Linked DNA regions of Arabidopsis thaliana. The protein of the gene in region 1 interacts with the protein of each later gene in a pairwise test. Each region holds a gene or a part of one and is shown in the gene's direction. Other genes may lie near its edges. The genes, in order: AXR3, MBD1, RGL1 and PTF1.

Region 1 (8,218 bases):
AAATCGACAAATTCCAATTCATAAACAATTTTTATTATATGGGATAATGCGACAGTGGAATCAAACTCCACTGAAAATAGACTTAACCATTTGATTAAGATACATCTCCATTTATAGTCATTTGCTAAATGAGTGTCTTTCACATATTTACTTTCGAATTAGATTTCTTGAAAAAACCAAAGGAATTGAGATAATCTACTAACTATTAACCTTCACAAAAAGTTACATAAATAAATATTAATAAAAGACGACTAAAAGGAAATATTGTATATATATGATATATCGTCGGTCGAAAATGTCAGAATGGAGATGAAGCAAACTCACCAGAGAAATAAATAATGCAACAAATGATAGCGGAAATGATTGCTTCAATATATACTAAGATTTCTTTCTTTTCTATATTATTTTAAGTTGTACAGAAAAAATGAACCATTTTGTGGTGGAGAACAAGGTTCAATAGTTCAATACATATTATGTGTTTAGAACTAAGCAACATAATATAGATGTAAATATGTAACTTATACTTAGTAATGTACATATCAAAAATTTTAAAAATATGACTATTACACACTTTAAACTAAATATGACTCGAACAAAAGTAAAATAATAGAATGGAGAACTGAAATATACTTTTCTATTAGGTTCTTTAAATTCTAGCCAATTGATCGTTTTAACCCATATACATATATAAGACTGTAGAGCAAGTGTTGACGTAAAGTAATTTGTTTGAGTCTCAAAAGAGTTGTTGCTTTCACATACAATCACATTTTACATTTTAGTCAATGTAAACTTATTATTTGGTTGTGGATCGTTTCAATTGCATGCATGCAGCAATGCATGTCATTTGGCTGCATTCCTTAAATGCGAGAAGTATATTCCAACAACTAATGTAAATGAGAAAACTATAAAAAAAAAATTGAAGATGGACACAAATGAACCAGTACTATTGATTTATTTTTCTGTGTGGTAGAATGTTGAGAGTTGTGGCCTTGTATTGTCCACATGAAAGTACACCTGGTCCTCACACGTTCTTATCTTGCAAGTTCATAATTAACACACATATATACCTTTGAAAATAACTCATTAATTTCGACACCATGCATATAAAATACATGATTAGACCTATATATAATTTTCCCAAAAAATGAAAAATATATATAATCAAGTGAAAAAGCATTACCAAAATTACACATCAAATTAAGATGGTCTCTATCGTGTGACAAAGAAAATGTGGTCTCCATATGTATCCTTGAGAATACTGATGATATATGGATTTGGTTGCATTGGTTCAATCTCATTAAAGTTTCGCATACAATCCATTTATGTGTGCGGGCGCATTTTTTTGTAATCATGTAGGCTGGACCGAGAATTTATATTATTCACTGGTTTACAATTTCATGTGAATTCCATAGTGATCAGTAGATATATATATTGATCAGACAAAGTAGATACACATTGATAAAACACGACAAAATGATGTGATATATAAGACAAAGTGACCCAAAATTCGATTGAAAAATTTGGGGTACGTTGATTTGAAAACTCATGAGAGTTTTTTGGGATAGAAACAAAAGGAGAGAAAAGGGTTAAAGAGGAGGATGTAGACAAGGCAAGGAACAAAAGTAGGGTTTAAGATGTTTTCGCCCCTGAATTTTATTTGATGTAACTTGTCCCTTTATCATCTCCATGTTTTTCTTCTTCTCATTAATTTAAATTTTGGCTTTGGAATTTATGGTGATGTTAATTGTACCCTCTCTTCCTTTGGATTTTGATGCCACTCATGTCCCCTCTCATAGATTTTATTAGGGTAGGAATATGCCTTTTTCCCTCTTTATTTTCATATTTATTGAATTTACGTTGGTTAATTATGGTTAGTACGCTTGGTGTTATTTAAACGTCCCGTATTCACAGTTTACGCCTAACTGATTACTTTGAACTAAAACCAGTGTCTAGTAGATCACTAAAGTCGAATTTTGAACGAAAGTTTGAAAATTCGCAAAAGCGCCGTGAAAATACAATTCCAAAACATATCATTTTTGTTTTTGGAAGCGTGATTGATGAAATAAAAACAAAATATGTTTTGGAAGTGCGACAGAATTTGTTTTTTTGTTTAGAAATGCGATAATATAGACAAATTAATAGAAAATGTAATACAAATTTAGGTGCTTTCATAACTACAAAAAAAAAAAAAAACTACCCTATTGTTGAAAACTTTCATACTACAAGAATAACACAAGCAATATAAAAGAAGAAAAATAATTTTCAATAATCAAAAACAGACATTATATTTTAGTAGTCAATTTAATCTGTAAATATCTGTAAAGAAAATTAATCACCAATTTTATTGTTAACTACAAAGTGGTGTTTATAATATTGCAATTTATAGTTTGTTAACTACAAAGTATAAACATTAAAGAGTAATGATGCGTTTTTATGTGTCTAGATACACATTTCGCTGTACGTGTTTATAGGTGAGTTTTTAATCAATAAATATTGAAGATGTACCGTATGCTTTATTTTGTATTGGCATGAGAATAATTATATACAAGAGGGCTGCGCTTTTATTGTGGGATGAATAATTGAATCATGTGGATGTGATATGCATAATTGGAAGGTTCCGGCGAAGAATCTTACGGGGAAAAATAATCAAAATCATGAATATATATTCATTAGTTAATAATTATATTTAGAAGTCAAAAAGCATAATATAGTTATATTAATAATAATGTACATCTCTATTGTAACACTCTCATATGAGATGTCTGCGACCTCGCCACTCAAAAGAATATATATTTATAAACTATACGTTGATATAGTTTTTAAGACCATATGGTATATACATATATTTAGTTAGATACCCCATATCAATTAATCGGTTCATCACCACTTAATTCACTTGGTTGCTTCGAATGTGTTTCATAATTCACTTGTAATTTTAAAATCTTTCCTTCACTTGTGCTTTCGCTTGTAATCTCAAAATGTTATATATCTCTTTTAACGGGAGAAAAACGATTAAAGACGGATTAAAATATATATCCATTTTGTATAGTCAAATGCAATAATATATACATAATCTACAAGATAAATCATAAGAAAGATTCAATAACAGTAATAGAGTAATAACAGTGATTACTGATTAGTCTAAAAGACTAAAACTCGAGGATGATGACTTAATCAAAGGGCTTAGATTCATCCACGTGTCTAAAACCCGTTTAATCAAAGATCTCTTAAATACGACATACACATGCAGCTACCTCCTAGACAGAGATATAATACAGACTCATCTCACTTTGTATTATTTGAGTGTTTTTATAAAACCATTTTTCCATCTTCCTCATCACCTTCCCAAGAAGAAGAACACCAAAGAAGAAGAAAGGTTAATAATGATGGGCAGTGTCGAGCTGAATCTGAGGGAGACTGAGCTGTGTCTTGGTCTTCCCGGTGGAGATACAGTGGCTCCGGTAACCGGAAACAAGAGAGGGTTCTCAGAGACGGTTGATCTGAAGCTAAATCTGAATAATGAGCCTGCAAACAAGGAAGGATCTACGACTCATGACGTCGTGACTTTTGATTCCAAGGAGAAGAGTGCTTGTCCTAAAGATCCAGCCAAACCTCCGGCCAAGTAATTTTACTATTTTGTCCTTTATGATTTATTTTCCACTCTTCTCTACTGCTCTTAATATTAACATTTTTGTAAAGGTGACTGCAAAAAAAAACAGAAATTTCATTAAAGATATATATTTTTCTTCGCCAAAACCATTTTATCATATGTCTACGGTTTTTTTCTCTTCTTAAATCGTCCAATGTCTTAATATATTTAATTATGTTTAACCCATAGTCTCATGCAAGTAAAATTTATGTGACATCACGTCAAAGCTAACTACAGTCTATATCTTGTATAACATAACCGTTTTTCCGTTTTAAAAAAAATATAGGGCACAAGTTGTGGGATGGCCACCGGTGAGATCATACCGGAAGAACGTGATGGTTTCCTGCCAAAAATCAAGCGGTGGCCCGGAGGCGGCGGCGTTCGTGAAGGTATCAATGGACGGAGCACCGTACTTGAGGAAAATCGATTTGAGGATGTATAAAAGCTACGATGAGCTTTCTAATGCTTTGTCCAACATGTTCAGCTCTTTTACCATGGGTACGTTTTATAAGTATATTCCTTATATATATATGTAGATCCTTCCATGCACATTTAGTTACTAATTAATTGTTACTATAGAAAGAAAAATTAATCATCATGATGATAGATCAGTCCCAAATGAATTACCGTTATCGAGTATACAAATATTTCATAATTGAGTAACCCGTTAGTAGTAGTTTAGAAACTGTGAAAAGAAAACTATGTGATAAAATCCAATTGCGAAAAATGTATATTTCATTTGTTGCACCATAAAAGAAAACCACCAAGTTTAAATTCAGGATATCAAGTTCTTATACCTAAGATTATTTTAGGCAAACATGGAGGAGAAGAAGGAATGATAGACTTCATGAATGAGAGGAAATTGATGGATTTGGTGAATAGCTGGGACTATGTTCCCTCTTATGAAGACAAAGACGGTGATTGGATGCTCGTCGGCGACGTTCCTTGGCCGTACGTCTTCTTCTTCTCCCTTATTAATTACCATTTAATTAGAGCTTTATTGTTTCGGTTAAAATTCGAGCTTTATTTTTGTTTATGTCATTTATTTGTTTCTAATAAATAACCATTTGTTTTAATCTTTTTATTTATTAGAATGTTCGTCGATACATGCAAGCGTTTACGTCTCATGAAAGGATCGGATGCCATTGGTCTCGGTATGTATTTTCTACCAATGCATATTATATTCACATTGATTAAATTTTGATTTCAGTTTGTTACCCATTTAAATTAAAATTTACGTGTATATGTATACAATATAGTTAAAATAGCTTACAAAAGAGATTTGCCCCAAAAAGAAAAAAAAAACTTACAAAAGAGCTTAAAAGTTTACTATAATGTACACCTCAACCGCATAACTTGGTCGCCTAAATAATTTAATATGCTATCGTTTAAGATGATGTCTAATCATCAAACGCTTAAACCGTTCATTATTTTTCGCACAATTATATTTCTACCGTAAAGAACAAATTTGTCGAAAGAAAACTTATCGCTTTGATCTTTTAAATCATTGATATAATACATGATATTTGATTCTCTTTTGTCAAATGCAAAAAAAGAAAGAGATTAAATAACAGAGGGAATAAAAAATATACTCTTTTAACAGAATAAATACCGTGGTCAAATGTCTTTGCTTATTAATTGTAAAAATATTTCAGCTCCGAGGGCGATGGAGAAGTGCAAGAGCAGAGCTTGAAGTCAAATTAAAAGGATAAGTGGTATCGATTATATATTTGATTAACACATTGATTGGTGTTAATTGCTCTTTTTTTTCTTACGATGAAATACATTGTTCAGTTTCTTTTGATTGTCTGTGTTTTGATCTGGATTTGGTATGTAGATATAGTTTGTATGCTATTATGTGTAATGAACTTAAGTTAAATATTTGAGACATTTGTAATGGAAAATGTGTAATAATTTGAACATCCTATTCCTATGTATATGTTTGTCTTTATTTATTTATTTTGCCAAAGATGTGTATATTCGTATAAGGAATATGTGATTTTTATTCCACTATGGAAAATTTAATCTCACATTACTTCTCTTTAATTTCAGTCTCTTAATAGTCAGTTATTTTCTAAAGGCAGAACAGTATTCTTTTGGTTCGTCTTGAAAGTGAAACTAAAGATCATAGCGATCGAGTATTTGACCCTAAAGTAAACTTTCCCCAAGTATAATTTCGAAGTCGGTATAATTAGAATTACAATATTACAATATACATATGTTATATCAGATGAATATAATTACAAAAATGGGGAAAATTCACTTTGTTGGTATATTGATTTGTTGGTACTTAAAGTGATAATTGGCTTTGGTTGGAGGAAATAAAATAGAGAAATAGGACCCATAGGGAAGAGAGGGAGCAATGCCATGTGCATATTCATGGGTCTCTTCATTTCATTACCTTTGTTTATCATTTAATTTCCCATTAAATTAATTAGGAATATTAACTTTTATACCAACTAAATTTATTAACAAGGTTATCATAATTATACACAAATATCCTCTCTATAATGAAAAATGAAAAACCACTAGAAATATGGAATTACGTTGTATCCTTTATCACTTTCAGAAATGAGCTACAAGTAATTTATTATTGTCAAGAGATTGCACATGTGTAAAACTTGAAGGTAAAAGACATATATATGCAATAAAATATAGATATATATATATATATATATCGATGACATAATAGATATAGTATAATAACATATAGGGCCCTTTTGGATTAATGGTGTTTACTGGTTATAATGGAGCTATTCTAAGCAGTCCTTATTTAATTTGATGTTTAACGTTAAAAAAAAGTTTAAGAATAAAATATATAGATAAAATAAAGAAAACTGAGAATGTAAATATTGATAAATGGGGAAGCACATGGAGAAGATGTTGAATCCCAAAACGAACAAATCGAAGTTTTAGGAAAGTATCGTTCCAACGTACATGCATGCATATATATAGAAAATATGTGTACTAATGTATGTGTAAACACAAACATTGTACAATTAGTTACGTTGAAATGTTTTAAATTTCAGTATCTTAATATTTGTCTTCATTTCTTGGATCAGGCAGAAGCATGTTCGATGTTTGATGGGGTCAATAATTAATTTGACAAGTTGACGCTCTAGAGGATTCTTCACCAAACTTAAATTATCGCAGATAATACATTATTTAAAAATAGATGGAGCAACATATAAAACTATATGTTAAAAATATTTTATAGTTTTAGAAAAACTTTTGTTAAAAATAATAAAGCTATAAACAAACAAGAAAAACGGGTGATAGTTTCTCTATCACATAATAATGGAATCCATTTAAAATTCCATAGGCCTCATTACACATGATGGGCCGTGGCTTTTCTAAGCACAGTTGTTATCAAGATAAAGAAGCAGAAGAAGTTGTAAGGAATTTTCTAACCGGGTCAAGTATACAATATATGTAAACCATAACGTAAACCGGATATCAAACCGGGTCGTAGGTCGAACCTGAACTTTCTGATTCTGTTTTTTTTTTGTTGGTGTCCGAGTCTATTCCTAATTAGGGTTTGTGGTGGAGCTCTGTTGATGTTTTGATTCTTTCTATAAACGATTCAATGGTTAGTGGTGGCATTCCTCTTACGAAATTTTCTTATTATGCATGTGATGGAAATTTTCAACACCAAACATGAAGGAATGCGAAATATGAGTTACCAGTGAAGATATTTGTCCGATAAATGAGGTTGTGGCTACAAGTGTTTTGTCAAAACAATAATGGCTTTGTGTTCGGATGCTGGCTTTAAAGCTTGAGCTCTTGATTGAGTTTGCTCGGCGCTACTATGAATCATCAGATTGAATGAAGAAAGTTGTGTACTCTGTTCTTGTCTCTTTATGGATTCAAACCTTTTCTTCTCCTTTAACAAGGTTCATAAAAACCAAAAGAGAACAGTTTTGGGAGACCGAAACCATATCATCTCACAGACGGGTAACATCAATCCTCTTCCTCTAAACCGGTTTTCGTCTTAAAACATATTTTGTCATTAACAATGTTTAATGGGACACAAAACAAACAATGACAATTTACAAAACAACAAAACCCTAAATCCCCAAACTCATTATCAAATCGTGTTGATCAGATTCCACTGTAATCACCACGAGCACCGTCGTTACCACCGCCAGAGGTAGAGAGCATCGGTCCATAAGGTGATTCCAGATCGTCACTCACAAGATCATCCGTTCCTCTTAACGCAGCGTGTAAGATCAAAACCAGAACACCAAATCCAACGGTGGTGAGAGCTCTGAGCCAAACTCCGGTGGTAACTAGCGACCCAATCGAAAGACCAATGAGAAGCACAGCGACGATGCCGTCATCAATAGTGAATCCGAAGATCGTGAGTGGCTCCTCGCGAGCGAAGTAGAGGAAGAACCAAGCTAAGCCAACGGCTATAAACGCGAGGATGGCGATTGGACGTGTGATTAGGGTTAGACCTAGGAGGATAGAGAGAATGATACTGTAGTTGATGCGGAAGTGAGTCAGGTTCTGAGTTACGCGAGTTGTTGCATCGGCGATGGAGGAAGGGAAGCTGAAGGCGGAAAGATC
Region 2 (7,313 bases), on another chromosome or scaffold:
AATCTGTAATAATGTGACGTAAAATCATTCAAAGAAAAATTCTTCACTTGAATTATTTAATTTACCATGCGTGTAATTAGTAGTTATCGTATGGGGTAAATTTCATTTTGTAATTCTCCTGAAAAAATTATAATTCTTAAAATTATCACAAAGAAAAGTTATAATTCTTAAAATTTAACAGAGTATAATAAAAAGCCTCAGAAATAAATATATTAATTTTTGAACAAAGAAAAAAGGATAATTATCCATGAAAACAAAAAAATTGTCAGCTCGATTTCATCGAAATTTATAAACTTTATTCCTCAATTCAATTTGGGGTTTGCTTCATTTTTTTCTCCGACCAAACAAGTTCCGGGTGTTTTGAAAGAACCCCGACAATGGCGTGGAACGTGTTCAAGTTCTGCACAGCACTTCGCGCCTTGGGTTCGATCATGATCTTAATTGTTATCGGGATCATCGGATTCACATACTACGCCGTTGTCGTCGTTAATTACGGACCTGCTCTACTGATCGGTGGTGTCGATTCATTACTATCTGTTCTCGTCTTAGCGTTCTTCCACTTTCTGGTAAACTCAATTCTTCCTTCTAGGTCAATCTGAAATTTTTAATCTTTTTGTGACCCTTTTGAAATTTTTGCATTTGGTACCCTCTAGATCTCTGCTAATTACATGATACGCTGGTTTGGACTATGCTTTAGTTACTTACGAATTGTAATCTTTTGGGTTCTGTCAGATGCACCAACTTGATTTTGCTTTGATAATATTGAGTCAAAGCTTGTTGCTTTGTTGTGGTAGTGGGCTCAATCTAGCTTGGCGTGTGGATTTACATTTGTGTCTGTTGGATTTTAAGTAACAGCAAGATGAGATAGTGAATTAGGATAGTATAAGCTAAGTAAGCAATCAAGTATTCATCTTTTTTTTTTTGGTTTGATTTGGTTGTAGTGTAGAGTGTCTTTGTTTCTTTTAGTTTTAAAGCTGTTGGTTTCTTGTGTGTTTTAATAGATTATCAACATTTGAACTCCCTCGCATTGTAGAACTCACAGAGGAAAGAGTAAGGAAGCAAAGGACTCATTTTTTTTATGATTGTTGTTTTGTTTGCAGCTTATAATGCTACTGTGGAGTTATTTCTCTGTTGTTGTGACGGACCCTGGTGGTGTTCCAACGGGTTGGAGGCCAGAATTAGACATAGAGAAAAGCGAGGGAAACCAAGCTTTGATTGGAGAAGCTTCGGTTGGAGATTCCTCGTCTCATGGTGTAAGATATTGTAGAAAGTGCAATCAATATAAACCGCCTCGTTCTCACCATTGTTCAGTCTGTAAGTCTCTTCAATGAGTGATTCTTTTCTTTGAATCCGGTATATGTGTTTTTTAGTAGTGAAAAAGTTGTCATATTGGGTTTTCAGGTGGAAGATGCATACTAAAGATGGACCATCACTGTGTTTGGGTGGTGAATTGTGTTGGTGCAAATAACTACAAATCATTTCTCCTATTCTTGGTATGTCAACTTATCATAGCATCGCTGAACGAAGTTGTTTTTGATATGTTCTGTTCATTAATGTTGCCATGATCATAATCCATTCCCAATATCTCAAAAATGCAGTTTTACACATTTCTTGAGACAACGGTGGTTGCAGTATCACTATTGCCAATTTTCCTCGTATTCTTCAGCGATGGAGATGGTGATATAACCGTATCACCAGGAAGCCTAGCAGCCAGCTTTGTTGCATTTGGTGAGTTCAAAGATATAGAAATCTCAGTTTCCGTTTTTGTTTCAGAACACCTTAACGTTACCATCTGATTCAAAAACTTCACTCTCTTGCTTTCCAGTATTGAACATAGCATTTGCCCTAAGTGTCCTAGGCTTCCTAATAATGCACATAATGTTGGTCGCTCGTAACACCACAACTATTGAGGTAAAGCAACAACTCTCACTTGGTTTTGCTCTTAACTTGGGTTCTCTCAGGAATCTCCATGTCAATAAACTCACTGACCAAACTAATGGTTTCTTTAATCTCAGGCGTATGAGAAGCATACAGTGAACTGGCCATACAACGTTGGTCGTAAGACAAACTTTGAACAGGTTCGCTCTCCATCTTCTTTGTTTCACTCGTTCTTCAGTGACTGATTCGTTTCCCCGCTACTTAGATAATATCTTTGACATCGAACACAATGAAAGCTTTAAAAAGTTTGGTCTCTATTCCTTTGTTGAATCAGGTTTTTGGAAGTGATAAAATGTATTGGTTCGTGCCATTGTACACGGAAGACGATAAGAAGAAGTTGCCAGCACTTGGAGGGTTAGACTTTACGAGCAGGTCGGAGTCCGAGACAGAGCCGCTTCAGTCTCTATGACCTTACAAACTTGAAATTTTTGGAAGTGTGTCTTCTGCTTTGTGTATGTATCAATCAAATATTATATCAAACATTGTCTTGTGTATTATAAAGATTAGTGCCTATTGTGGAATTTGTATCTTTTTATTTCGTGAAAAGAAATTTCTCAAACTTCTTAAATATACCATTTTCACATTTGCTTAAATATACCATTTTCATTTTTTCACTATTGATAATAATAACATGTTATTTATCATAAAAAATAAAAAAATCACGACACGTGAATGATGTACTGTAACTATCAAAGATTTGACGTACCACATACTTTCTGTATGTTTTTGATCGAATCAAAAATAATTATTTTTGTCCTTTTTTGTTTTATTGTTATTTTATAATGTAATACTTTTACTAAAATAATTTTTTTTAAAAACTAAATTTCTGGTCTATATAATTTTGGCCAAATATGTACATATTTAAAATCCAGAGTCAACCATTTAACAAACACTTGGAAATTTAATTAATTATTATGCCCTGTTTAGTAGAAAATCCATTAAAAATTACAGAAATGGTCTGCGTGTCGCATTGAACCAATCATATCTCGACATCTGTAAATACAGTTGGAGAAGATTTTTTCTTCTTCTGCTGGCCAAAAAAAAACATTGCATTAAAAAGGGTTCAAAGAAAAATTCTCAAATTCTCTAACAAAGAGCTCTGAGATTTTTGGAAATCTGAATCGTTGTTCGAGGTATGAACTTTTGGATCACTCTCCTTGAATCTGCTCTTTGATTCGATTTCGTACTTGAATTTCGCAATTTTGGAGTTTTCTCTCGCTTCGTTATACTGATCGTTTAGGGCTTGAAATTGAAGGTTTAATGTTACCATTTCCGGCAATGAACTTGAAGAAGTCTCGATCGGAAAACTCATCAGTTGCTTCATCTGGAAGTAAGATTGAGGAGCAGACTGAGAAATCAGCTGAACCAACAACCATTAAGGTAAACCTCACTAAACCTAAACCCGGTTTCAATTTTGCTTTGTGGTCTCTCTTTACCACACAGATCTTATCATTGAATTCTATCTCTTAATTAGGGTTTTAGTTGAGAATCTTAAGGTTTTTTTTCAACCAGTTTCGAAGACTTAGTTACTAGTGTTATTTGACGAACTGATGCAGACATAAAGGTTATAACTTTATTTCTCGTTGTGTCTTTGGCTGATCAGTTATGTATAAAATTTAATCAATATTTATGCTATTTAAGGTTTCGCAGTGACCCTTTTCTTCAAATTTGGTTTTTGATTCTGCATGTTCTCAGTATCACTCTTTTGGTGGTGTCCCTGTTTTGACTTTTGTGTTTCTCTACGCATGTTTTCTCATCTTGCTATATATTAAACGATTTGTAGTATGATTCTGTTGATCCAAGTAGCTTGTGAGTGACTGTTCTTCTTTTCACCGAGATTCCATATTTGTATTGTGCAGGTGCAGAAAAAAGCCGGTACTCCAGGGAGGTCGATAGATGTCTTTGCTGTGCAGTGTGAGAAGTGCATGAAGTGGAGGAAGATTGATACTCAAGATGAGTATGAAGATATCAGAAGTAGAGTACAAGAGGACCCGTTTTTTTGCAAGACGAAAGAAGGTGTGTCCTGTGAAGATGTTGGAGATCTAAACTATGATTCCTCCAGAACATGGGTCATCGACAAGCCTGGCTTGCCGAGGACACCAAGAGGGTTCAAAAGGAGCTTAATTCTGAGAAAGGATTACTCGAAAATGGATGCGTACTACATAACTCCTACTGGGAAGAAGCTCAAGTCTCGTAATGAAATCGCAGCCTTCATCGATGCCAATCAGGATTACAAGTATGCACTGCTTGGAGATTTCAATTTCACAGTCCCAAAGGTGATGGAAGAGACGGTTCCTAGTGGGATATTATCTGACAGGACCCCCAAGCCATCAAGGAAAGTTACAATTGATTGAGCTACATAGCGCTTCCCAGCTTCTTATGGTGTTGAAGTTGTTATTGGAGTCAGTTTTAGGTTTCTATCTGGTTTAGTCTTTTAAGGGTGTCGGACTTCTTACTGTAGAATGTTTCTTAAACTCATCTCTTTGACTCTGATTGGATCTTTATTTTCTAATGAAGGATTATCTTTTCTTCTCTTTTTGTTATGTCACAAGTCACAACTACATGAATCGCTCTGGTTTTCACTCAGTGTGTACAAACAAACACGACAAAGTATATTCAAGCAGCATGTGTACAACTTCTTCTACTCCAAGCGCACCCTCTGCTATAGCGTGCGGTGTGCAAGTCCTCGCTTATGGGCTATTTATCCCATTCAACATTGAGTATTGGTCATAACCTCTTGGGACTGAGAGCTTTATGAAAAGAAGCCTTAAACAATGATTGCATATTTGGGATTTTCAAAAAGAAGACTCACAACATAACTTTATGTATGTTTCCGCTCTTGGGTTTTCTGACCAGCCCTTGAAGCTAGTCCTTTCTCAAGGTTTTGTGTATGTTTCATTAGTTTTTGTTTGTATCTGGAGTCTACCGTTTATTAGAAGTTTAGGTTGCTCCTTCCACCGTCCTTACTCCTTGGTTTAGTTGAATAAGCAGTTTTCTCATGTGGTCTTACTTGGTATGTAAAGGCTAACCTTTTGTGGGCATGCAAAGTTCTAAATTTAGACTCTTTAGGATGAAGATTACATGGCTACAATTTTTGATTCTTATATGTGATTTTTTCTTCTTGTTATTCGTCGTATTTGGGGTCCTTTTTCGCGATTTACATTTGCCTCGAAGACTGCTTGTGAGCTTTTGTAGTTCTGCATCTACTGTTCTTTCCGCGCTTTCTGTTGACTGCGAGTGTGGTTTTCACATTATTTTGTTTGGTGGTAGCATTTTTTCTTAAACTTCGGTGGTTATTTTAAGTTATGTTCAAAGTTTTGTTTGTAATTTCGTGGTTCCGAATGAGTAGCGGCTTGATTATCCGTATTACTTTTGGGTTTGATTTTTCGAATCACTCTCGAGCTTTGTTCCTAATTTATGCAGTTTGTGTTCAACTTGTAACTTTTTTTGTATATGCAATCTAAGATTAATGTTTATAGAATTCATCTTAGATTGCCTAACGATATTTTGAATATGGCTTAAATCTAAGATTTAAAACGTACAAAATCATGCGGAAACTCATTTTGAACGGAAAAAACTCGATTCAACTAATGAACATATAAATTATAGAATAGATAAAATAAAATGGATTTAGAAAAACAGTAGAAAATATTTATAATTTTGCCATGTTTAGAAGAAAATCCATGAGTTTAAGACAATGAGCAAGAGAAAATTACAGAAACGGTGTCGAAGTTAACCCATCAGCCAATCAAACTGCGACTCCTGTAGAAACACAGTTCGAGAAGATTCTTAAATTCTCTTGCTGCATAAAATGGCTTAAGAGAAAATTTCTCAATTCCAACAAATATCTCTCAGATTGTTGGGAGTCCGAATCGTTGTTCGAGGTATGAACTTCAAATTCGATTACGGTGAATTTTAATGTTTGATTTTGATTTCTGATTGAATTTCAATTTCGGGTTCTTCGTTAGGTCTAGTTCGCTTCAGGTCTCTGGTTTTTTCTTCATGATATTTACGTTCCTGAGTTGTTTGTGACTTGATTGTGATCGATTCATGTAATCTTCCTGATTTACTGTTGAAATTGCTTTGCAGTTAGAGAATTGTTATCTTGCTAGAGATTGTGTTGAATTGCAAATTTCAGATTTGTGTTTGATGATAGCGTTTTATGAATTCTGTTTTTGTTTTTGTATACTTTAGTTTTTATCAGGGAAGATGCAAGGAGGTGGTGGTAGAGATCCTTTTGGTGGTGGTTTTGGGGGTCCTTTTGGTGGTTTTGGAGGTGGCTCTTTTGGTGGTTTTGGAAGAGGTTCCTTTGGTGGATTTGGTGGCCCTAATGGTCCTCCGAGTCTCATGTCTAATTTTTTCGGAGGAAGAGATCCATTTGACGACCCTTTCTTCACTCAGCCTTTTGGTGGTGGCATGTTTCAATCCAACTTCTTTGGTCCCAGCATGAATCCTTTTGCAGAAATGCATCGTCTGCCACAGGGTTTTATTGAGAATAATCAGCCTCCAGGACCGAGTAGATCACGCGGACCGGTTATTGAAGAGATTGATTCAGATGATGAGAAAGAAGGAGAAGGTGATAAAGAGAAGAAAGGAAGTCTAGGGAAACATGGCAGGTCAAGCAGTGAGGCTGAAACTGAAGATGCTAGAGTGCGAGGTGATACCTTTTTTCTATTTCTACCTTGGTTTTAAAGTGGAATGAAATCGTTCTTTTCTATGGAACTGATTGTGTTTTATGTTCGCTGCAGAGAGAAGAAACCGGCAAATGCAAAGCATGAATGTAAATGCAGAGAGAAGGAACCGAGAAATGCAGAACATGAATGTGAATGCAGAGAGAAGGAACCCACAAATGCAGAACATGAATGTGAATGCTATGGTGAACAATGGACAGTGGCAACCTCAAACCGGTAGTTATAGTTTTCAGAGCTCGACTGTTACATACGGTGGTCAGAACGGCAACTACTATACTTCCTCAAAGACCAGAAGGACAGGAAGTGATGGGGTGAGTTACATTAGTAATGTAATTGCGTGTGTGTGAAAGTAAGAATGTTAGCTGATACTTTTTACTAAAACCGGTCTTACTGTGAAACAGTTAACTCTTGAAGAAAGCAGAGAAGCCAACACTGCAACGCGGGAAGCAGCGCATATGATTTCAAGAGGCCTTCATAACAAGGTACATATATACATACCTTGAGGATAATAAAATCTGTATCTTTTGTTGTTGGATCAGTTATAAGTTATGTTCTTATGCTTGCAGGGCCACACAGTTGCGCGTAAACTTAACTCAGATGGCCGTGTTGATACAACTCAGACCTTGCACAATTTGAATGAAGGTAACTAATACAATTCTCGTTAAGCTTCATAAATGTTCTATT
Region 3 (7,672 bases), about 24 Mb from region 1:
TTCACGATTGTCTTCTCTCTTGTTATAGATGAATTGATTTAATTAAATAGGGAAATTATCGTGTCCCATAATGCCACAATAACAAAATTAATAAAAATAAGTAAATCAAAATGAAGTAGAAGAACCCAGATTCCAAATGAACAAATGCCAATAGACAAACAAAAAAAAGTTCACACTATAATCCGATTGGTAATGTATAAAGAATAAAAAAAATTAACGAATAAAACTAAATGTTAATGATATATATAATTAAAAACAATGCAATGTAGCGAATAGAAAAAGCGGCAAAAAAATCTTAATTTTTTTTTTATCTCGTTTTTGATATTGTTATGTGGTTAGTTATATTAAAAACGGTACGAATATACCACTACGGTGTGAAGCTAACAATCACACCCTATATCTCTAAACTTTTTAGCCAATTTTCATTGGATTCTCTAAAAATTAACTTGTTTATTAATAAGAAAACAAAATCTTAAAAGAATACAAAACTTAGGTATTTTAATTGCATTCTCAATTTTTACAACTTCTAATTCACATCATGTATACGAATAATTCGCATTCATAGGGACCACACGCTTTTAAGATTACTTTTAGAGAAACAAAATATTGAAAAGTTTGTGAGTGATGATAATCGATCGGAGATGGGGCAAAAATTTGAGAGCGACAAGGAACGTGAGTCACATGGAAAGATCGATCATATTATACAGCAAACAGAAGTCCCCACACCAACATGAATTGGTGTCATATGTATGAATGTGAAGGGCCAAAATCATCAAAAAGAAAGTGTTGTGTCATTGTGGACCTTGATTAGGGGTAAGCTCGTAATTATTTGTTTTCTACTTATATTTTCTTTGGTACCAATTGAATTAATTTTTTCCGAAATCGGCTATGAAATTATTGGCCTCTTTTTTGCCCCACCATAACAATCCAACTACTTTAATTCCTTCTTAGTACAACAACGGCTACTTCACTTTAACATTGTCTAGCCTTTTTCTATTTTAAGTCAAAATCTTGACAATGCACATGACCCCTTAGGAATCCACATTAACGATATTATTATCGTACATATTTTAGGTTATTAATCATCCCAGCTAATTCATTCGGATAATATCTAAAAACATGATGGTTTGAAATATTGGCATCGTTTCTAGCCACTTATTTTGAAAACCATTGATTACTTATTTACTTATAAGTCATTTTAACCCAATATACAAATAACGTGTTCGTCGATATTAAAACATTTCATTTGACAAGCATCAAGAGTATAATTGGCGGTAAATCTTTGGTTACAAATGAAGGAAATTCACAACAGTTCGACTTTGTCTTAGATGTGAAATAGAAGAAGAATCTATTAATCATGCGATTTTTAAATGCCCTTATGTTCGTCATACTCGGAGATTAGCACATATCCAATCGGCAATTAATGTATATTCCTCCAAAACGAATTTTGTTAATCTGAATTTTTATTTTATTTTATTTTTTTAGAAACCATGATAAAAATAAAACATGATAGATCAAATTTTAACCCAAAGATTACACTACAATGGTATTTAATCCATGAGAGCTAAAACAATCACACAAAAGTTTACAAAATTAACTCAAAAGAAAAGATTGTTTTGTATGGTTTCTAAATTAACTAAGGGGGTGTTTTTCGTTAATGGATTTTATAGAATTGAAATCCAACACTAATCCACTATTATTTAACTAATGATTCTAAATCCAGCTTTAAAATCTAGTGTTATTGGAACTCATATTTGTAAATCATGCTTAATAGATTCTAAAGTTTGGTGTTATTCAATTAAGATTTTAAATATTTCATTAAAATCCAATGTTATTCAAAACTAAAAGACTTGTAAAATCTTTGTATATTAATTGATTTGAAATGAAAGTTCTTTAGAGTTTCATGAGTAAATCATTAGAATCAAAATCCAAGACATATTGCAGAGATTTTGAAATTCATACAAACATATTCTTAAAAGCAATATCGGAAAACAAATCTAAAGCTTAAAGAATTGACTTTAACTCCATAATTGAATAACACCACCTAAGACATTAGTAAATTGTAAGTGAATAAAAGAAAGCAACAAAAATAGTTAACAATTGGTAGATAAGAATTACATGCAGTGTAAGAAAATTTCACAAGGACTCAAATCACAATTATCAAATTTTGTAAATAGATAAGAATTTTCAAAATATCAAGTTGTCTAGCTAAATACTTAAGATTGTAAACTGCAATTCAAATTCAAGAAATTAAAATGGACATATATAGGGAAGTTATGGGCATGTATGTGATCTCGTACATCCCTTAGAGCGAGGTCTAAACCATCATTTGGAAAGCTCACCCCTTCCAACACAAATCGAACACATGACTTCTAAAATCTCTACGTTTTCGGTGATCAAAGGGATTTACCACTAGAAGTGCCAAGTTGACGGTTCTTGGGAATGTAAACTCTACTTCTAGGTTATGTTGGATATGCTTTCAGGAGGAATCTATGACCCTATTGCTAGGATTTAAGTCCCATCGCAAAAATATTACTCTGCTCATTTTCTTGAATTTCTTATATGGGCTATGAAGACCATTCTATCAAGTGCACTCACATGGTAGAAACTAAAGTCGGATCTCTGAGCTGATCATGATAACGCAATACCCCTTTGAGTGGCTCCACTTTAGTGGACTATTGTTTTCTCTTATTGTACTTTAGGTCCTCGTGAATTAATCTCTCGGACGAAAGTGTTTAGCATGTAGTATTTTAGCCCATTATTTGGGTAACCAATTAATGTTTATTCCCTTAATGTATTGGTGATGATAAAAAGAGCAAGTAGACTACTAAGTTCTTACCAACCAATAACCGAAGGTACCAAACGATTCGAAATTAAAAAGAACGAATAATACTGATGAAAACTGTTGAATTAAACAATGTCATAGAATATAGTCACTTAATTATGACTATTTCTCTTTCAAGGCACTAATCATCCTTGTAAATCATCATACTTTCCAACAAGTATTAGTAAACAAAACCTACTAAACTAAAATAGAACCTTAATTTTAATTATCATTGTTTAGACATTTTTACATACATGTTTTGAGGAAAAGTCTCCTAACTATCATAATGATCAAGTCTAGTCTACTATTAATAGCAAAGAAATTAAAGAAACTATCAAAAATATTTGGACCTAGACATCAACATCTAACAGTATAACCTAATCAATCAAAGTAACAATCTTGGTTCGAAATGAGGATATGCATTATGTGAAAAGGGTCATTGTAGAACTATGAAAAATGGTTATGCATATGGGGAAGCTTAAAAATGTTTTATGATTGCATGTATCTTTCTTAAAGCTCATACCGAAAGAGCTCCACATCTAATAATGGTCGTAACCACACAGTATTTTATTTATTCTCCATCTATCGCCTTTTGAACATGTCTAAAACACAAGTATATAATAAAAATGCGTATTACAACACAAAAATATATAATACTAATATCGCTAATAAGAATATAGAATGATATTATTATATATTCTTGTTGGGTTATTTTGACGACAGTTCTTAAGTCAACTTAATTATTTTTGCAAAAGACATTTTTGCACGTTAGTTGTAATTTTTTTTCGCAACTAAAAATATATGCAAATATTTTACATAAAACATCTTTTGCTTTGTTTTGTCAATCTCTTATGCTTACACTACTTGATAGTCATTTCTTTGAGGAAGAGCGCCAATCCTACAAAAAAAGTAAGAAATATTTATTGTTACAAAGGTGATTCGAATTCGAGTGATAATTTCACAACGACGCTTACAAGAATAGCTAGATTTCATGTATTTTCCGATTACCAATTTTTTTTTGTATCAACAACAACATGCATATGAGTTTGAACTTCGACGGTGTCACATCAGCTCTTGCACACTAGCACAAATCACTAAATTACGTTTTTAGTCAATTAAAAATAATAAAACATATACAAATATGACCACAATCATAATACTACAATTGAATGGCGATGATATAAATTCAATTTTTGTATTAGTAATACGGTTTGAAAATCTACATTCGAAATGTGAAACGTACAATGCCATCATTATGCAAAAAAAAAAACAACTTTCAAACATTATTCTATATGAAATGGAGGAATTGGTAAAAATAGAATTCATTACATCACCTAAAGATTAATCACCCGATAATATAAAAACAGAAAACTAAACAAGATTTCCCTGAAATTTATAGTTTAATATATTTTCTTATGAACATAATGAATTTCTTTATTTATTCTCATTTATGAAGATGATATAAAAGTTTGAACAATAATCACAACACAACACATAAAAAGTAAATCTCCTAATCACCAAAAACTATAAAAATGAAATGTATGTTTTTGTAGTTGAAAAAAGGGTGGTGGTTGGCTTTAGAAATTGGACTTTTAACCTAAATGTTTCTCTACAATACAACTTCCAAATCATAACCGTTATTTAATATTACACCTAGTCTTCATCAAATAATCAAAATCACAAAATAATCAAATATCAAAAACAAGTTGTTATAGTTTTTAATCAAAATAATTATGACATAGCATAGATTATAGAATATCTCGTTCAAATAATGATGTCAGGTTTACATCAATCAAACTGAATTTTCTCGAGAAGCATATTTTGAAAATTAAAATTTATTCGCAGAAAAAGAAGAGAAAGGAATCTACTATTATTTACTGTATATTATATAAAGAGGAAAATAAAATAGGTAAATAAATTTCCTTTTATAATTGCTTTAGATTGCGGTTGTACCACGGCTCTGCTCTTGCTTTTAAGAACTTGCCGGTACTAAATTTCATATACTCCAATTAAAAGCTAGCTCGAAACCCCAAATGTTATTTTATTTTTCTATATAATAATAATCATACATTATAAAAAAAAATCATATCATTATTTAAAAATAGAATTTTATTTTTCTTTCTTCTTCTTCAATTATTATGACACTCCCGTGTTCCTAATCTTTTCTCTTATTCTTCTCTTTCTTCTCATCTTACAAAATCTTGCAAATCAATTTTAATGAAGAGAGAGCACAACCACCGTGAATCATCCGCCGGAGAAGGTGGGAGTTCATCAATGACGACGGTGATTAAAGAAGAAGCTGCCGGAGTTGACGAGCTTTTGGTTGTTTTAGGTTACAAAGTTCGATCATCCGACATGGCTGACGTGGCACACAAGCTTGAACAGTTAGAGATGGTTCTTGGTGATGGAATCTCGAATCTTTCTGATGAAACTGTTCATTACAATCCTTCTGATCTCTCTGGTTGGGTCGAAAGCATGCTCTCGGATCTTGACCCGACCCGGATTCAAGAAAAGCCTGACTCAGAGTACGATCTTAGAGCTATTCCTGGCTCTGCAGTGTATCCACGTGACGAGCACGTGACTCGTCGGAGCAAGAGGACGAGAATTGAATCGGAGTTATCCTCTACGCGCTCTGTGGTGGTTTTGGATTCTCAAGAAACTGGAGTGCGTTTAGTCCACGCGCTATTAGCTTGTGCTGAAGCTGTTCAACAGAACAATTTGAAGTTAGCCGACGCGCTCGTGAAGCACGTGGGGTTACTCGCGTCCTCTCAAGCTGGTGCTATGAGGAAAGTCGCGACTTACTTCGCTGAAGGGCTTGCGAGAAGGATTTACCGTATTTACCCTCGAGACGATGTCGCGTTGTCTTCGTTTTCGGACACTCTTCAGATTCATTTCTATGAGTCTTGTCCGTATCTCAAGTTTGCGCATTTTACGGCGAATCAAGCGATACTTGAGGTTTTTGCTACGGCGGAGAAGGTTCATGTTATTGATTTAGGACTTAACCATGGTTTACAATGGCCGGCTTTGATTCAAGCTCTTGCTTTACGTCCTAATGGTCCACCGGATTTTCGGTTAACCGGGATCGGTTATTCGTTAACCGATATTCAAGAAGTTGGTTGGAAACTTGGTCAGCTTGCGAGTACTATTGGTGTCAATTTCGAATTCAAGAGCATTGCTTTAAACAATTTGTCTGATCTTAAACCGGAAATGCTAGACATTAGACCCGGTTTAGAATCAGTGGCGGTTAACTCGGTCTTCGAGCTTCATCGCCTCTTAGCTCATCCCGGTTCCATCGATAAGTTTTTATCGACAATCAAATCAATCCGACCGGATATAATGACTGTGGTCGAGCAAGAAGCAAACCATAACGGTACCGTATTTCTCGATCGGTTCACGGAATCGCTACATTACTATTCGAGCTTATTCGACTCGCTCGAGGGCCCGCCAAGCCAAGACCGAGTGATGTCGGAGTTATTCCTAGGACGGCAGATACTAAACCTTGTGGCATGCGAAGGAGAAGACCGGGTAGAGAGGCATGAGACTTTAAATCAGTGGAGAAACCGGTTCGGTTTAGGAGGATTTAAACCGGTTAGTATCGGTTCGAACGCGTATAAGCAAGCAAGCATGTTGTTGGCACTTTATGCCGGGGCTGATGGGTATAATGTGGAAGAGAATGAAGGTTGTTTGTTGCTTGGATGGCAAACGCGACCGCTTATTGCAACATCTGCGTGGCGAATCAATCGTGTGGAATAAAAATAAATAATGGGAAAAGTGAAAATGTGCTATATACTTTATTGCATTGCTGATAAAGAAAAAAAGTCCCACGTTTTCCAAATTTTATGAATTCTAAATTTTGTTCACTTGTCACGAGATTTTGACCTCGCATAAATAGACTATTACGTCAGGGTCAGGCCAATGAAATGATTTTTTATCACTTGTTCTCATTAAGGTAAAAAAGGTCTTTTCTATTTCATCTTTGGTTTTCGATAAAATTAAAATTGAATAAGAGATGAAATAATGATATATATAAGGTGATAGTCTGATAGATATGGATAAATGTTTCATGACACGAACCAGTAGTCAAGTTCTTTTGAGAATAATCCTAAGACCATGGACTTTAAATAGATTGGTTAAAGGGTCATTATCTCTTTAATTAAGGAGGACAGTGGTGTGTTTAAAATGTATTTGTGCTCTTTTGACGTTGATTTAATTAGTACCCACCGCCAAATAATATATGAGCATTCCTGTTATCGCATGTTGACATCATTTTAAGAAAATGATTTTCGTAGGTAACATTTTGTTGGTAATCAATTTAACAACTACCAATTTTATTACTTTTAGAAGAAATATGCATGAGCTGACATAATTATACTGTACATAAGTTCATAAGTTTCTGTCGGTAGAGAGGTTTGTTCATCAGGAATTCGTAATGACGCAAAACATAAATTTGTCTTTAGAAACTTTATATGAATATATAAATTTGGGAAACTATTATAAATCCTCATAAATTTTAACAAATTTTCAAATACTTTTACCTTTCTAAAACTTTTATATGTTGTTTCTTATAACTTACTTACACAATTTTGTAACAATTTTCCAAGTATAACCAGAATTGTTTTGGTAATAAAACCTTCCTCAGAATATGTTCTTGGAAACGAGATTTTAATTTGATGGGCATCATCATTCTTCGACACTACAACCATTTTAAAATTTTGTTTTACTCGTTGAAAGTATTTTCTTTTCAATAATGGTGCATTCTAGGTTTGATTAAATTGTGAAGTCCAAACCCAAGCCCAATAAGGGAAGTTTGAGGCCTAACCCAACTCCTAATATAAGTTTCTCGTGTGT
Region 4 (7,798 bases), on another chromosome or scaffold:
GTGTATCCAGCCTGACTGGGCCCCCGACACGGCAAACCAAAGAAATACGTTAGACATTTTTTTTATCTAAACATTTCTACGCGCCTTTTCTTGTGGCCTAATTAACTTCAAGTTCTAACAACAATACTAATAAGAGTTCAATATTGGTTATTAAGAATGTGCTAGTTTCTAATCCTTTGTGGTAATTTCATTTCGGTAAATTGTTGTTACATAATTTTTTGAAATTCATGCAGCAGAATAATAGTAATAATAAGGTGGAGAGGAAAGAATGAATGAATGGGAGGATCTCCTAAAGAGACGCAAACAATCAAAGAGGAGATCGAGAAGTGGGACACGCATAGTGGCCAACTTGTACTATTTCTTTCTTTTTTTGTATGTTTGAAGAAATGTTTTGTTTCAAATCTATTTTACCCTAAAAAGGTGATAAGATTAGTGACACGTTTCGCTTCTAGAATACACCACGTACCACTTTATTCATTGCTTCACGACAACATGTAGCCAAGTTGCTGTGTGACATGATCACATTTAAGGATTTAGTCAACCGGGCTTCAGTTTTGTGGTTTACCTATTTTTGCTTCTATAACTAAACTTACAAAAACTTCTCTACAAAAGAGCTACAGAAAGCATCTGAACTTTGATCCATTGGGCTTTTCTTTCATCACAGTTGGCCCATACACATTTCTTTTGTTGGCCCAAGATTGTGATCCAGGATAGTAATACTAAATTAAATTCACATAGCTTTTAAAATTTATAAACAAAGATATGGTTGTAAAAAGTAATGTTTTGCTTACTGCCTATGGGGCCATCTAACACATATGTGTTGGGTTACCATCTCTAGTAGTATCTACCATATGGACTGAGCATAGGGATTGGTGTTTGGGATAGGAACAGTGCATAATAAAGGTGTAGTGTATAAGACAACAGATAGACTGATAGAGTAGTAAATTTTGTATCTCTGATTTTTCTAGTTATTGTAAGTCTTGTTCAAATTTTTACATTTTTCATATTTTAACGTGTCACTTTCCCCAAAGAAAGAAATACCAACAATTGCACTAAACTCCAATTCTATAGATATCGTACGCATGCATTTGCTGCCCAACAGTTTTTATATAGAAATCTTAATAAATTTATTTATGATTCATATTGCAGTTAATTAGTGTTGTGTATTCAACCATGTTATAATTTCTGGAAGTGAAAATTTTGCTGGGCTGTTTCTGCTTTGTTGGGTATTGAAATGATAAGAGTAATTAAAAATGTAACTATTGGGGATAATACAAGAGACGGTTAAATTGAGAGAGAAAAAGTGATAGGAAAATTAGGGGGACCATCGAGTGAATAACTCTCTTTCTCTTCTGTTTTCTTCAGTTTCTCTCTCGAGATGCCCAACCTCTTCACTCTTCATCTAGTACTCTTTAGCGAGTATATATAACAATCACATAATAAATACTTACTCTAAGTCTTAAATTTTATATATAGTTACTTTGTTTACATATAACGGACGTTCCTAGCTGTATAATTCACAATTAATAACTTACACACTAAAAAGTTGAACCTACGAAATTTTCTTAACGTAAATTTTAAAATCATTTGGCTAATTAACTAGTATATCAGATAAACTTACACATTTTCTAATGGAAATTAAATATTCTTAGTAACGCATAGTCATACTTGCGCGTTCTTCTTAATTAGTCTTTCAGAAAAAGTGTCAATATATCTTCTGGAATATTTAATATATAGTCGTATATATGACTATCGAATCTCAGAAATGTGGCTATCAATCTATCTATATGTGTATATATATATAAACGTGTTTGTAATTTTGATAAAGATCTGAAACTCAAGTGGAAGAAACTGAATTGTATACGTCTCGAAATGGCATGCGTACCCACGGTACTGTATATGTGTAGATCATTATTTGAATATCCACGTCAACCGAAATTAATGATTTGGTGTTCTATTTGCAATATTCACGTAAGCTCACGTAATTCATACGTTTTTGTTTGTCTTGCTAACTTTAGCTTCATCTCATTTATATACGCTGATATTGATTGCTATTTATCAAATATGGAGAAATGTGTTTAACTTTTAACATGATTTTTAGGATATTATTGTCGTTGATATATATATCCTTCACATCATTAATTATTATTATGGATGTGAAAATACTATAGAAAAGCTATTAAAACCCCAATCTTTGTTCATGAGACAACAAAATTCTGGAGTCGGTGAAGTAGACATGACTTAATGGATTCTAAGTTTGTCCGATTTCTCCTTTGTTCCCATGTGATGTCTTAAGATAAAATGATCATCATCACACTTTCTTTTTCTCTTACTCCTTTGTTTCGATTCATAAGGATATATTGCTTTCGTCCACTTCTAATATTCTTATATCACTTTATTTAAAAGACAATGTACAATTTAATAAAATTAATAATTTGATGAATGTTATTGATTCATATAGATATTTAAAATGTATTTGAAAAAGGGGTACAAATCTTATTGTGAATGGATAATTAATTAAGTTGCATACTTCAAAAGACAATCATGTGGATACTTTTTTATTATTAGTTTTATGGATTTGAAATTCTGAAAAATACTCGTCTCAATTATTCTTAGAACATTAAGTTTGACCTAAAAGAATGGTTTGACTAGTAATATGGGAATTATATAGGTGCCCCTTTTCACAGATGATGCATCCGAATAACAAAATCATATTACTTCTTATATCCTACCGTCCATATTAATTATATTAGATTACACATTTAAATATAATATATACATCATTAGATCTAATATAGAAAATCTTATTAAAAAAAAATCCTTATATAAAGAAAAATCACAAGGTTAACACAACCTTATCGATAAATAAAGATGTTAAAACTGATTTTTATATATGAAGCAAAAGTAAATTAGGGCTTAGTGATGTCTAGTTAAAGTACTTGTGTTTTGAAAAGGTAATGAGTCATGACTCAACAAGGTACACAAGGCGTGCATCGGGTAAACCACAACCTTTTGTAATTGTCGATATAACAGCATGCCAATATTCACATGGACCATATACTGTGTGTATATTATATATTACCATATATGTGAGTTACATTTCATATTGTAGAACCAAGGACTAAATTTAAACATAATGTACCATATTCTTTTAATTAGATTATTCATAAGATATCCAATTTAAAAGATGAGTTAAAATGATCAAGAAAACGCTACGCTGAACTCTAAAGTCTAATCTTTATCATTTATAGAAGTGTTATGAAACAAATCAATACCTGGTTAATAATTGATGTAGTTTCATTTTTTTTTTTAAGAAAAGAAAGTGATGAAGTGTTTAACTAGTCATAATATTATAGATCCAACTTCATTTCAATATATCACGAGTGCATTGGCGGCTGCAAAACATATTTTTGAAAAGAGCAAAAAAAAAAATCAAGGATCATAAATAATATAGGTCTTGGCTTTTTAATTCTACCAATAGATTTACAGTGGACAATTAAAGAAAAAAAATCACGAAATTATCATGGTTTGGCTAATTGAGATAAAATTCATACGTTTTCCATCAATAATCGTACATCATCCATTTCACAACAATAATTATTCCTAAAATGTCGTTATTTTCATAACATTGGTTAGATGTTCTAATAAGCTACTATTATATATAACTTCACGTCAATGTATGTTTGATTTTGGCATCTAAAATTTCTGTAAAATTTAGATATTCGCGTATACTTTTTTTGGGATTTTCTTCTTAGCCGTATTATAACTGCAACTCATATCACATACGTGGATGATAAAATATTCGAGTTTAATATCTCCTCCGTATGTAGATTTGATATGATCCATAATATTAAAGATGAAAATGAACTTGACTGATTATTCAGCGCATTCATTTTATTTTCCCTTCGAGGATAGCGAAATCCGCCACGTGGCATTACTACATCCATTGCTTTTTTTAACATAAATACTTAAGTCGCAATTCTTCTAAATTTTGGAGGCTTATGATATTGGTAGGGTTCTCATATTCACTTCCAAAAGCATCTTCTTCTTTCTAATTTTCTTTTTCTTTTTATCTTATTTTCATTTTATTCATATACTTTTTGAAAAGAAAAGTCGAATCACATACTTTCTTCTCTCTATTTCTCATTCTCTCTTCTTCATCATATTACTCATTTTATAGAACAGCAAAACCCTAGATTTCCTGTTCAAGCTCAAGACCGTACAAAACTTTGGAACTCATGTAAGAAACAGTACACGTTTTTTTTTTTGTTTCTTCTTCAGTCCGGATTATAAGAATTTTGTCGATTGAAGAAAACAGGCTAAATTAAACCCTAATTTTCTCTCTTAGACAATTCCTACTTTCTCTCCATTTTTCTGGATTCGCTCTCGTTTTAAAAGGATTCAGAAATTAACTATATTATTTGAATTCTTTTGCCATAATTCCCTTATGTTTTCTGCTAATGGATATACATTTGGTCTTCTTTCTGTATTAGATATAAAGATCTCGAGAATAGCATTATGAATATCGTCTCTTGGAAAGATGCAAACGACGAAGTTGCAGGCGGCGCTACGACAAGACGTGAAAGAGAAGTAAAAGAGGATCAAGAAGAAACCGAAGTCAGAGCCACCAGTGGCAAAACCGTAATTAAAAAGCAGCCTACATCGATCTCTTCTTCTTCTTCTTCGTGGATGAAATCCAAGGATCCGAGGATTGTTAGGGTTTCACGCGCCTTTGGAGGCAAAGACCGTCACAGCAAAGTGTGTACGTTACGTGGACTACGTGACAGACGCGTGAGATTATCAGTCCCAACGGCTATTCAGCTCTACGATCTTCAAGAACGGCTCGGTGTTGACCAGCCTAGCAAAGCCGTTGACTGGTTGCTTGATGCAGCTAAAGAGGAGATCGACGAGCTACCTCCGTTACCTATCTCGCCGGAAAATTTCAGCATCTTCAACCATCATCAGTCCTTCTTGAATCTTGGTCAACGGCCCGGTCAAGATCCGACCCAACTCGGGTTTAAAATCAATGGATGTGTACAAAAGTCTACTACTACTAGCCGCGAAGAAAACGATAGAGAGAAAGGAGAAAACGATGTCGTTTACACAAACAATCATCATGTTGGGTCTTATGGAACTTATCACAACCTGGAACATCATCATCATCATCACCAACATTTGAGTTTACAGGCAGATTATCATAGTCATCAACTACATAGTCTTGTCCCATTTCCATCACAAATTTTGGTATGTCCAATGACGACATCACCAACAACTACAACTATACAATCTTTGTTTCCATCATCATCGTCAGCTGGTTCAGGGACTATGGAGACATTAGATCCGAGGCAAATGGTAAGCCATTTTCAAATGCCATTAATGGGTAATTCTTCATCTTCGTCTTCCCAAAACATTTCGACATTATATTCGTTGTTACATGGTAGTAGTAGCAACAATGGTGGTAGAGACATTGATAATCGGATGTCGTCGGTCCAATTCAACCGAACTAATAGCACTACAACGGCTAACATGTCGAGGCATCTAGGCTCGGAGCGTTGTACAAGTAGAGGAAGTGATCACCATATGTGAAGTTAGATTATTGAAACGATATAATTGTTGTTTGATGTGTTCAGAAATAAGGGGACACAAAACAAAATATAAGGTAATTACTATTGTACTATGTTTTGCTGATATATTTTTTAATAGACAAATTAATGTTATAAATTGATTTATTAATTTACTATTAGCATGTGTTTTGAAACTTTCTCATGTATATATATATATATAGCTTCCTCATAGGATCTGAATACACACAAACATACATGAAATGTATTATAAGTATCTGATAGTAATGTATGCACTTTGAGATGAGAAGCTAAATTACATTCAGATTCATCAAATATTTAGCAAAAAAAAAAATCAGATTCATCAATAGGTAACGTAATAATATGAAATTGAATCTAATAATTTATACTGATCTGTTATCGAGGTATTATGTTTCTATTGGATGCACGGTACAATGCAACTATAGAACTCAATGTGACCGTAGCTAGATAGATTATTAGATGATGATATAAGTGGAGATTCCACAAAACCCAAACAAACCTAACATTACTATGTCATGTGAAGCAGATATATATTGAACCCATTATCAAATAGAAATTCATCATGAATGGTTATTATACATACAAGTGCCCATTTTAAAATCTTATTAGCATAGTAAGTAAACTATCAAGATGCAAAGAAGCCATTCCCATATAAAAATTAAGATGTGTAGCTAGGCTAAATGGTCTCGATAATAATGTGTAGTAGTGAATAGTGATCACATGCATGTTCACCAATGAAAGAGTTAGGCTAAAATGCAAATTACATATGTACATGCTATGTTAATATTTATAGTAGGAGGTAAAAAAGGAAGAATTAATAAATGAAGAAAGAAGAAAAATTAGTTAAATTATTATAGGGGTGATAGAGACAAAAGCTTCTAAATAATGTTGTGTGTACGATCTTTGATTGATTTGAGTAAAAGGCTACCGATCCAATGCTCTGTGACTCTGTCGTATATCATCATACTTTCTGCAAAAAGCTTCCATGTCGATCTCTAGCTATCATACTACATGCATATATATATATATTAATTCGAATTATCTGGTTTTACGTTCCAACCTCACAAAAATTGATAGCAAACTAAACTACGGAGGACAATAAATGACGAAATTTGAATTTATTAAGTCGCACTAAAAATTAAAAACATACTGTATCAAACAAGATTTGGTTTTGAACTTTTGATATGTTTTGTAACGTCTTTTTATTGTTGGGCCAACCACTAAGACCCATTAGTTTGAAATTCTGTTTGATAACCTGAAAGCCCATCAACGCAAATAATTGTATCCTTTCTAATTATTACATCATCGCTGTAATAATCTTAATCTTACTATATATGAAAATAAATAATTCTTTTTATAATAAAGATTAATTTAATTTCCTTAAAAATGAAAAAAATAGTAATTGCCTTTAATTTTCTTTAAAAAAACTCAGTAGTTCCTCTCTATAAAGTTAACGAAAATCTCAAACTTGGAAAATCTCCCACCCTTCTTTTTCTTCGCCTTCTCAAATTGGATCGAAAGTTTTAAACTTGGAGCTGGGTTTTTGATTCGCATGCGAAATTTCCTCAATTTCGTTTGTTGGTGCTTTCAATTTCACTTCTTCGCTAGCATTTTCTCTCACTGTGTTCGCCGCCGATAGCTGCCCAAGTTGTGTCTGTTCTTCTTCCCCGGTGAATTTTCAGTGGATAAAGCTTTTTCTCCGGTAAAGCATTTTACTTCTCTTAATTGGATTCGTTAACTCTCGCTCTCGAGTTTGCTTTGTTGCTTTCTACTGCTTTAAATTGAACCCGAAACGTCTATTCTTAGTGACCGGAACAAAATTGATCTTTCATTAAGTTCAATTCTTCGTTTTTTAGTCACTTTTGGGTTTAGTATAAAATTGATTCTGATGTTTTATTCTCTCTTATTTGTTCTTAGGTGCCTAAGAGAAGACTTTCGAGGGAAAGATATTGGCTTTTGTTTTGTGTTCTGAGAGGGATACGTGTTGTGTTGGTTTTTCACTCAAGAGATGGTTCTACATGTTATGTTGGGTGAAGTTGTAACAAAGTTTTTGAATATGAACAATGGAGTTGGGGAAGGTGGAAGTCAGCAAAGAGAATTACATGGTAAGAGAAAGCTTTTCCGAGGCAATGATTTCGCTTTTTCCATAGCGAGAATGGCAGTGGCTCAGATATGCGAGAGTGTTGAGGTTAACC

What was found.
Region 2: the proteins of AXR3 (region 1) and MBD1 interact in binary tests that used the Arabidopsis thaliana proteins (3 or more experiments, as listed by UniProt).
Region 3: the proteins of AXR3 (region 1) and RGL1 interact in binary tests that used the Arabidopsis thaliana proteins (3 or more experiments, as listed by UniProt).
Region 4: the proteins of AXR3 (region 1) and PTF1 interact in binary tests that used the Arabidopsis thaliana proteins (3 or more experiments, as listed by UniProt).

The regions. Positions count from the first base shown.
Region 1 is NC_003070.9:1,132,999-1,141,216, forward strand, and holds AXR3 (AUX/IAA transcriptional regulator family protein), read left to right. Parts: upstream 1-3,079; 5' UTR 3,080-3,383; coding exon 3,384-3,622; intron 3,623-3,935; coding exon 3,936-4,147; intron 4,148-4,461; coding exon 4,462-4,600; intron 4,601-4,741; coding exon 4,742-4,803; intron 4,804-5,304; coding exon 5,305-5,342; 3' UTR 5,343-5,665; downstream 5,666-8,218. Other genes in the region: MPI7 (CAMV movement protein interacting protein 7), read right to left, coding at 7,751-8,218. UniProt on the Arabidopsis thaliana protein: Aux/IAA proteins are short-lived transcriptional factors that function as repressors of early auxin response genes at low auxin concentrations.
Region 2 is NC_003075.7:11,944,400-11,951,712, reverse strand, and holds MBD1 (methyl-CPG-binding domain 1), read left to right. Parts: upstream 1-2,908; 5' UTR 2,909-3,071; intron 3,072-3,193; 5' UTR 3,194-3,198; coding exon 3,199-3,318; intron 3,319-3,797; coding exon 3,798-4,292; 3' UTR 4,293-4,503; downstream 4,504-7,313. Other genes in the region: AT4G22750 (DHHC-type zinc finger protein), read left to right, coding at 378-566, 1,101-1,314, 1,402-1,493, 1,599-1,728, 1,826-1,911, 2,016-2,078, 2,213-2,347; AT4G22740 (glycine-rich protein), read left to right, coding at 6,148-6,595, 6,687-6,940, 7,031-7,111, 7,196-7,271. UniProt on the Arabidopsis thaliana protein: Probable transcriptional regulator.
Region 3 is NC_003070.9:24,743,286-24,750,957, forward strand, and holds RGL1 (RGA-like 1), read left to right. Parts: upstream 1-4,819; 5' UTR 4,820-5,041; coding exon 5,042-6,577; 3' UTR 6,578-6,901; downstream 6,902-7,672. UniProt on the Arabidopsis thaliana protein: Probable transcriptional regulator that acts as a repressor of the gibberellin (GA) signaling pathway. No effect of the BOI proteins on its stability.
Region 4 is NC_003074.8:387,004-394,801, forward strand, and holds PTF1 (plastid transcription factor 1), read left to right. Parts: upstream 1-3,716; 5' UTR 3,717-4,240; intron 4,241-4,493; 5' UTR 4,494-4,518; coding exon 4,519-5,586; 3' UTR 5,587-5,764; downstream 5,765-7,798. Other genes in the region: AT3G02160 (Bromodomain transcription factor), read left to right, coding at 7,612-7,798. UniProt on the Arabidopsis thaliana protein: Plays a pivotal role in the control of morphogenesis of shoot organs by negatively regulating the expression of boundary-specific genes such as CUC genes, probably through the induction of miRNA (e.g. miR164).